2 linked regions of the Cricetulus griseus genome follow. Each later gene encodes a partner of the first gene's protein in a complex. Links are inferred from orthologs where the notes say so. Each region holds a gene or a part of one and is shown on either strand. Other genes may lie near its edges.

Evidence for each region.
Region 2: the proteins of Tln1 (region 1) and Pip5k1c are in contact, whole or in part, in a crystal structure (PDB 1Y19), measured with the Mus musculus proteins. The link is inferred for Cricetulus griseus from reciprocal best matches to the Homo sapiens genes TLN1 and PIP5K1C. Residues at the interface, in NP_035732.2 of Mus musculus: Pro209, Val210, Gln211, Leu212, Leu214; in NP_032870.2 of Mus musculus: Pro646, Leu647, His648, Tyr649, Ser650, Ala651.

The regions. Positions count from the first base shown.
Region 1 is NC_048595.1:99,973,427-99,977,230, reverse strand, and holds part of Tln1 (talin-1), read right to left. Parts: intron 3,755-3,804; coding exon 3,626-3,754; intron 3,484-3,625; coding exon 3,367-3,483; intron 3,266-3,366; coding exon 3,152-3,265; intron 2,965-3,151; coding exon 2,830-2,964; intron 2,681-2,829; coding exon 2,552-2,680; intron 2,393-2,551; coding exon 2,290-2,392; intron 2,179-2,289; coding exon 1,970-2,178; intron 1,620-1,969; coding exon 1,500-1,619; intron 1,319-1,499; coding exon 1,121-1,318; intron 952-1,120; coding exon 812-951; intron 643-811; coding exon 549-642; intron 468-548; coding exon 378-467; intron 268-377; coding exon 145-267; intron 1-144. UniProt on the Homo sapiens protein: High molecular weight cytoskeletal protein concentrated at regions of cell-matrix and cell-cell contacts. Involved in connections of major cytoskeletal structures to the plasma membrane.
Region 2 is NC_048598.1:102,067,153-102,071,424, forward strand, and holds the start of Pip5k1c (phosphatidylinositol 4-phosphate 5-kinase type-1 gamma), read left to right. Parts: upstream 1-1,412; 5' UTR 1,413-1,514; coding exon 1,515-1,608; intron 1,609-4,272. UniProt on the Homo sapiens protein: Catalyzes the phosphorylation of phosphatidylinositol 4-phosphate (PtdIns(4)P/PI4P) to form phosphatidylinositol 4,5-bisphosphate (PtdIns(4,5)P2/PIP2), a lipid second messenger that regulates several cellular processes such as signal transduction, vesicle trafficking, actin cytoskeleton dynamics, cell adhesion, and cell motility.

The sequences.
Region 1 (3,804 bases):
CTCAACAGTTCTGATGACCATCTCCCTTCCCTACAGAAGGGGGGCACCCAGATTTTGCACTAGCTTCTTGATTTATATCCTTGCAAAGGGAGAAAGGACATAGAAAGCAAGAGCTGCTCTAGGAGTCCATCTGAGGGAAATAACCTGTGCAGCGGCCTCGGTGAAGCCACAGAGGGCCTTGGAGGCTGTGGCGATGGCATCTCCAAACTCCGGCAGATTTCCATTCTTGGCATTTTGGGAGATGCCAGTCATGGCCTCACCTAGGACCTAAGGAAGAGAGGGTGTCAGGAGGGTCGGATCACATCCTGAGCATCAAGGTATCAGTGTTAAGTCCATCTTCCTGTCCTTGCCTCTCTAGAGCTCCCCGGCCCACTAACCTTTGAGTTCTCCATGACACTGTCCAAACAACCGAAGTAAGACATGTCATTGATGGGTTGGACTGGATTCTCCAGGAGTTCTCGGACTGTCTGTGTAGGGGAGTGACATGAAATTTGAGACATTCCCTCAGCCCTAGCTCCTTAGTTCCAGCTACTATGCTAAAGGCTCACCTCTAGTTCCCGAAGGGCATTGTCACACTCCTTCTGTCCAGGTGCTTGCTGGGTGCACATGGTGATAAGCTGGTTGATGCTGTCTGTCACCGCCCTGTTTGGGGGAGGGGTGTGGAACTCAGTGAGTAGGTGATCTTCCCTGTGTCCTGTGTGCATGGGACTGTATATATTTTCTTTTGCTAACCCTGGGGATGTCTTAGGAAATGTCTTCTCTCTGGCCTTCTCACAGGTTCCCAGAGCTGGGCTTTCCAGTTCCTGCTTACCTAGCAGCTGCAGCCAGTTGACTCTTTAGGTTGGGAGCAGCAGGGTCTGTGGATAAGGCCTTAGCAGCCAGAAGAAGTTTGCTTGAAGACATGGATATGCCCTTCAAGTTGGAGACCACCTGGGCTCGGTCCTCCTGGCTCTGTTACAGGTGAGAGCATACATTATCCTGTCATATCTGTTTCTAAAAGGATCTTTCCCAAATACTCACATTCTGATAGACCCTGGGGAGGAGGCAACCAGCAGACCCAGACCCCAAACAGCCATGTGTCCCCTACTGTGCCCTCATAACACCCTTTGCCCCATCGTACCGGGGCCTGTCCAGCCATCTCCACTCCAGCTTCCAGGAAGGTGCTGAAGTCCTGTCCAAATCGACCTGAGGCCCGAGCCAGGTCCTGAGGGGTTCCTCTGGAGGCCTGTACCAGTTCTGTGGCTGCCTGATTTAATCCAGCAGCAGCTTCATTCAGTCGGCTCTGAGCTTCTTGAAATGTCCCAGTGCTGGGAGGAAGCTGTGGGGTCAGAGGGAAAGTCAGGAAGATGGATGGGAGGTGAGACAGAGTTTGGGAAAGGAAGGCCAGTAAGATGGGCACGGGACCTAGGAATAATGAAAAGGGCAGCTCTGGGAAGGCAGGGTCAAAGGAGAAGCCCAGAGACAGAAAGCTCTCCTCTCCTAGCCATGCCTGTTCCTACCGAGTCACTCAGGAGTCGCTTGCTGGCATCTCCAACTGCTCGTAGGGCATTGTCCACATCTCTTTGGCCAGGCAGGCAGCTGACACAGCGGTTCAGGGCCTGGGTCACAGCTTTCGCCACCTGAAGTGGAAAAGAAACAGGGTTGCCAAAGAAGGAATAATCTGGGAGAGCCCTCCTTCCACACTGGGACATAGGAGATAACAAGCTGTCCTGCCACTAAAACTGGAAGAAGCTGAGGTCAGGGTCATAACAAACAATAATCACCAAACATCCCCAAACCCGCTGCTCTGCAAGGTTTGTGCCTAAGCCTAACAGATACTTCTAAGACAAGAGAGAAGGTGGAATTCAGAGAGGCACTCTTATGAGCAGATCTGAGGACACACGAAGCTGAAGAGTGTGTGTCTTATTAGGGTGAACCTTTTGAAGAGATCTAAGGGAGGGGTGGGCAGGAGCCCCTCCTAATAACTGACCTGAGCAAGCCTTTGCTGGCTCTCTGGGTCCCCTGGATGGCCAGCTGCTTTTTTTGCCTCATCAATGAGGCTGCTGGCCTTGTCCAGAACATCACTGGCTGTGTCAAGCACAATGGCCTGCACCGCAGGATCTGATGTCAGGGCAGCTACACCCCGAGCAGCCTGGGCAAGTGACCGTAGTCCACCTGCCACATCCCGAGCTGCAATACCTGGGGACACACAGAGGAGATAGGTTTGCTCCATTAGCTTCTCTCCCCAACAAGGCCCCCCTTCTCCATTTCCCTATCATATGTCCCATTCCTAGCCTTGTGCCTACATACCTGCATAGTTCTCATTGCCTTGGGCAACCTCCCCCAGCAGCTTAGCAATGGCAGAGCTCACTGCTTTCGTGCTGTTGCCAAGATCCTGGGCACACTTCTCCATCTGCAGATAAGAGGGTGAAGGCTTAGGAGGAGGAGGAAGTGAGAGGGTATCTGAGAAGGTTCTTGGGGACAGCTGGAAGATTAAATGAAGGTTCTAGGGCATAGCTGAGCAGACTTTCATGGTTTGGCTGAGGGCATGTTAATAAGACCGACTACTCACTGTTTCCCCAGGTAAGGGTTTAAGCTTGCCATCTCGAGCTGCTGCTTTTACTTCCTGCAGGTCTTTCTCTAGATTCTGTACGACGCTCAGTGCAGAATCCATCTCCAAAGGTCCACATGCCTCCTGAGCCTGTGATGGCGAGCAGCAGGGGGTATGGCTACATTCCTGGGCCTCAGACTACAGTCATCCCTCTTAGAGGTTATAGTGTACAAATTCTCCCCCATCCCAGGAGTCCACATACAGAGCCTCATCTTCCACAGCTAGAACAGCTCCCATACCTTCTGGGCAGCAGTACGGAGCTCTGCCAGTGCAGTGCCTAGGTTCTTTGCACATTGACTCAGCTGCATTGCTGAAGCCTGGTCCTGAATTGTTGGCACTGAGGCTTTTGCAGCTGCCACCATCTTCCCACCTGGCTGTTGGAGAAGATATGCAAATGAGGTATACAATACCCTCTCTCTAGCCTTCCAACGGACACTGGTAGGGTGCAGTAAGTAAGCACTCAGGTTTGGTCTCAGCTACTAGCAGATACTCAGATTGTGGGGGATCTAAGGTCTTGGAAAGGTGGGGAGGATCTGGTCTTAGAAGTGGAGAGTGTCTTGCCTGCAGGAAGCTCTGGCTGGCAGCAATGAGGGCGAGCTGGGCACTGGGGCTGTCAGGTTGAGCTTGGCTTCCTCGGACGCCCTGTACCAGCAATGGAATCTGCTCTGCCACAGCCTGTAGGTCAAAGTGCCATGAATCTCATGCTCTTGAAGTCAGGGAAAGTACTACCTTTGTTCTGACCCCTCCCTACTCCCACATGCCTCTTGGAGACTTACCTTACAGCTCTGCACCAGCAGGGGCTGGGGGCCAGCAGAGGCCTTGGGGGCAGAGGCTGCATGCTGGGCTGCAGCGATGGTCTGCGTAGCAGAGGCTGCAGCTTGTTTGGCTGCATGCTAGAAGGACAGAGTGATCAGAAGACCAGGCATTCCCAGGCCCTGGCCTACACGGCACTCTCCCCACCTACCCCCACTCATTCCTCTCACTGCATCCGTGCATTTACCCCCCCACCTCCCTGCAAGGACTGCCCAGCCTTACCTCCAGGCGCTGCACCAACTTTTTCTTGATGGCATTCTGTGCAGCTGCATTGGTGGCCATGCGAAGCCCCTCAGCCGCTTCACGCAGCCGCTGCTGCTGTTCCTCACTGTCAGGGTGGGCAGCTGCTCCCTGAGAGGAGAGTCATAATCCGTCATCACTTTGACCCGAAATTCACTCTT
Region 2 (4,272 bases), on another chromosome or scaffold:
GAGGTGACACCAGACAGATCGGGGACTCAAAGCTGAACCATGCCCCACCCTTCACTGGAGATTCTAGGTGGGGCTCCATCCCTGAGCCATGCACAAGACTTGGTCCATTGTATAAGTATTGACTTCTCTGTCTGTAGATCATATCATATCTCTCTGGCCCCTGTGGCTTTCCGGTTTCAGGTTTGTTTTTTTTTATTTTTTTAATAATTTATATGAATTTGCCGTGTGGTGATGGCACACGCCTTTAATCCCAGCACTTCGGAGGCAGAGGCAGGTGGATCTCTGAGTTCGAGACCAGCTTGGTCTACAGAGCAGAGCGAGTTCCAGGATAGGCTCCAAAGCAATAATACAGAGAAACCCTGCCTCAAAAAAGCAAGTAATAATGATAATAATAATAATAATAATAATAATTTATATGAATTGGTGGGTTTTGCCTTCATATATATCTGTGTGATCATGTCGGATCCTCTGGAACTGGAGTTACAGACAGGGTTAGGGTGGTTGCTGGGAATTGAACTCAGGTCCTCTGGAAGAGCAGCCAGAGCTCTTAACCTCTGAGCCACCTCTCCAGCCCCAGGTTTGTTTGTTTGTTTGTTTTTTAATTTGCTTCTGCTTCATTTGATCACTCATGACCTAATTCCTTCCTGTGATGCCCTAAGGATTCGTCCACATCTCTGGAGGAGTTGGTGATGTCCTCTGTAGTTCCTGAGGCAGGAAGGGTTCAGATTCATGCTTCTAGCCGGCTCAGGAGAGGCAGACTCTGCGGCTCCAAGGACCCCCACGTTTAGGAGTGGTGACATTAGTCAGGCTTTCTGGTGGAACCTTAGCACAGGAGAGGTGAGGCAGAAGAATCACAGTTATTATCCTCAGCAGCCTGGGCTACTAGAAGTGGTTTTTACTGCTATTATTTTATTACTTTACAATATAATGTAAACTATTGATAATTAAAGACAGAGCCCCACTTAGACCCAGCTGGCCTCGTGTCTGGTTTGCTATCCGCTTGGGGCGCTCCTGAGCCGCATGTGTAGGCTCCGCCCCCAATCTCCGATTGGGTGTGCTAGGCTCTAGGCCCTGCCCTAGCTCCACCCCCTGCAGGCTTTCTTCCCTCAGTTCTCTGGTTTATACGAGCTGCTCGGTTTTTCCGCCTATGGACACTTGGAGGCGCTAGTGAGTCGTATTTCACCTTAGCCCTGCCCCTGATCTCTGATTGGTCAGATCCCGCCCCCTGCTGAAGTTTCTCCCTCCGCCCTCGGAATTGCACGTGAACACGAGTCCTTCCGGCTCCGGACGCCTGAGGGCGCTCGCGACTCTGCTGAGTGGGCGCTGCTCTAAGCCCCATCCCTATCTCTGATTGGTTAAACTGTCCGCGTCAACGCCAGGCTCCGCCCAGACCCCGCCCCCCGCGCCGGCGCCCCTCCCTCCGCCCTGTGGTGCCGGCGGCGCTTGTTGTTCAGCGGCGGCGGCCGAGCTCGAGTGCATCCTCGGGCCCGCCGCCGCCGCCGGAGCGCTTGGCCATGGAGCTGGAGGTGCCGGACGAGGCGGAGAGCGCCGAGGCGGGGGCCGTGACGGCGGAGGCGGCCTGGTCTTCGGAGAGCGGGGCGGAGGCAGGTAAATCCGGCACCCCCGTCGGCGCGATGGGCTCGCCCCGCTCCCCCGCCGTGGCGCCGTGGTCTCGCCCGGCCGCTCTACGCGGCGCTGCGGCCCGCGGGCTGTGCCATTCACACGCGCGGCGCGGGGGTGCGCGCGCCCTCCCATTCCATGGACTGGGGGAGCCGGCGCTGCGGCCGGGGAGACAGCACAGCCCCGCCCGGGGATACGGGGCTCTCAGCGCTCGGCCCGTTTTAGGGTCCTCGGGTAACACGGGCGACCCGCAGGCGGGTGTGGGTGCGGCTCTGTATCCTGGCAGCCTGTGGAGGGAGCGATCCCCTTCTAGATGCATGCGGTAGCGAAGATAGGGTCCTCAGGTTTGGAGGAAAAGGGGACCGACCCGTTTGGGGGAATCCTCTTGCTGCAGGTGATGGAGACAAACCAGCCCTGCCTCTTTGGGTGTGTGGAGAGTGGTTTCTCCACAGTGCGTGGGATGCTGCAGCACCCTATTCTAGTGAAGGAACCCCCACCTGCCAGGCTAGAAAGGGCGAAAATGTCCTCCATGCGACCCCCTTTCTGGGGCCACCATGCTGGGCTGTCAATCTTGCAAGTGTGACCTTCTGGTGCCTCCCTGCTACACACCACCTATCACCCATTTGTGGGCCTCAGTCTACCTCTCTCTAAAACGGGTGGGGGGCAAAGGAATGATTTGAGGTGATTTCTCCATCTTGGCTGTGTGAGCCAATGTCCTGTCAACCCCCAAACCTTCCAGACTCTTCTCCCTGGACCCTGTCTGCCATGCTAACATAGCCTGTGGGGCCACCCAGCTTCCTCCTGTCCCCTTTCTTGTCATGAGCAGCCTCTCTGGGCAGGGCAGGGCAATGTGCACCGCTGAGAGAACAGAATGCTCTTTTCTCCATTGAGGTCACAGGAACTTCCAGGGTTCACAGGACCCTAGGCTCCTCAGCATATCCAATGTCTGACCGCTGCAGTTAGGTCTCTGTGGCCTCACACAGGCATCCAAGGGTCCCCTCAAATGTACTTTTTGCACACCAGCGATGGGGGAGGAGCCAGACAGCCAGCGGTCCCTAGCCCCAGGCTCTCAACGCCTTCCTCTGTGCCATCTGGAACCTAGTGGCAATGAACCTGCCTCTTGCCACCTGCCCTCCTTCTCCACTGTCACCTGGTGTCCTGTGCAATCAGTCCCTTACCATGCTGGAGGAATTGTGCAGGGGACACAGGGTCCCTTCCTGTCTGTCCACCTTGTGGCCAGTGTGGCCACAAACATGATAGGTCCCACCGAAGCCTCAGGGCAAACATTCCTCCCCATGGAGCCTTGGTCATCCTGACTGGGGACTGATAAACTGACTAGAACTTCAAAAGGGTCTGTCACTGAGCTCTGGACACACCTGACTCCAGACCCCCAGGGGCTGTTCCTCCCGGAAGTCCCTCTTCCTGACTGGAGTCCTATTAAGTTAATCATCCACACAGAATCCCATAGCAGCTGTGTGTGGGTCCCACCCTCCAGTCCAGCTCCTTGATGTGCCCCCAACTACAGTTGGGGGATCACTGCAGCCCTGATCTCTTTAAGGAGTCAGTATTGCTGGTTGTGTTAGCATTAATTTACCACCAACTGCATACCTGCCTCCACAAGTCCCACAGCCCTCTACTATGACCCATTCTGATAGCTTCTGTTTGTTAAGTGTGTGAACACGGGGGGTGTTCAGGGTTGGTGTCCCAGTTTTGCTGTGGCTGGAGGTCAAAAGCAGGCAGAGCAAGGCCTCCCCTGGTGGTTCTTCCTGGAAAGGCTGGGTTCTGTGGGTGCCTGTGTCCCCTGCTGCCTGTCCAGCCAGCCTGCTATCTGCTCTAGTAATTTCCATCAATCTGGTGGGATGCCAGCCTATCCCTGTGCTGTTTAGAACCCAGTTAGTTATATTAAGGACTCCTTGCTCCAGAGGTCTGGCCCCAAAACTGGCCTGTCTTCCTGTGGCTGCCGGGGTCCCTGTGTAGTTTGTGAGTATGTGGAAGGGCTCGGGAAGGCTGGGTATTTAGGACACCTAGGCTGGTGACCTGCTGGGCTATGGCGTGAGCCTGTTCCTAAACTTCATCATTCCTAACCTGCCACTGCCTCCTCCCCTATCTAAACGGGTGGTGAATTATGTCAGCATTGCTTCTAAAATCACCCCAGAGTCTGCCCACGTCTCTTCCACCCTCTGCCTCACCAGGTCCAGCTTCATCATCCTTCATTTTGCTTCCCCCAGCTCTCCTGGTCCAGAAGAAGCCCCATTAAAAACTGGCTCAGGGCCCTCCTTCTGCCCACAGCCCTACCCCATCCCTTCTGACTCCCTCCCTGCCCCTCACTCTCTGCTCCAGCTGCAGGGGCATCGGTGCTCCTCCTGCTCCTCCAACAGCACAGCACCAGGACAGGGTGGCATTCAGCAGATGCACTGTGACTGCCAAGGTGTGCCGGGTATGGCCCATGAGATGCCAGGTGTAGCAGGAAGAGGCAGTGACCTTGACATCAGGGTCAGAACCTTAGAGACAAAAGGTTCCATCAAGTCTTGCCCTAGGTGTCCTCGTGAGATCCTGCAGTTGGATGGCTCTGGGGCCCTTCCTCAATTAGGCTGCTGGGATTAGCGTGCTGATATACACAGGGCCAGGATAAGGCCGGGGACCTAGGCTGGA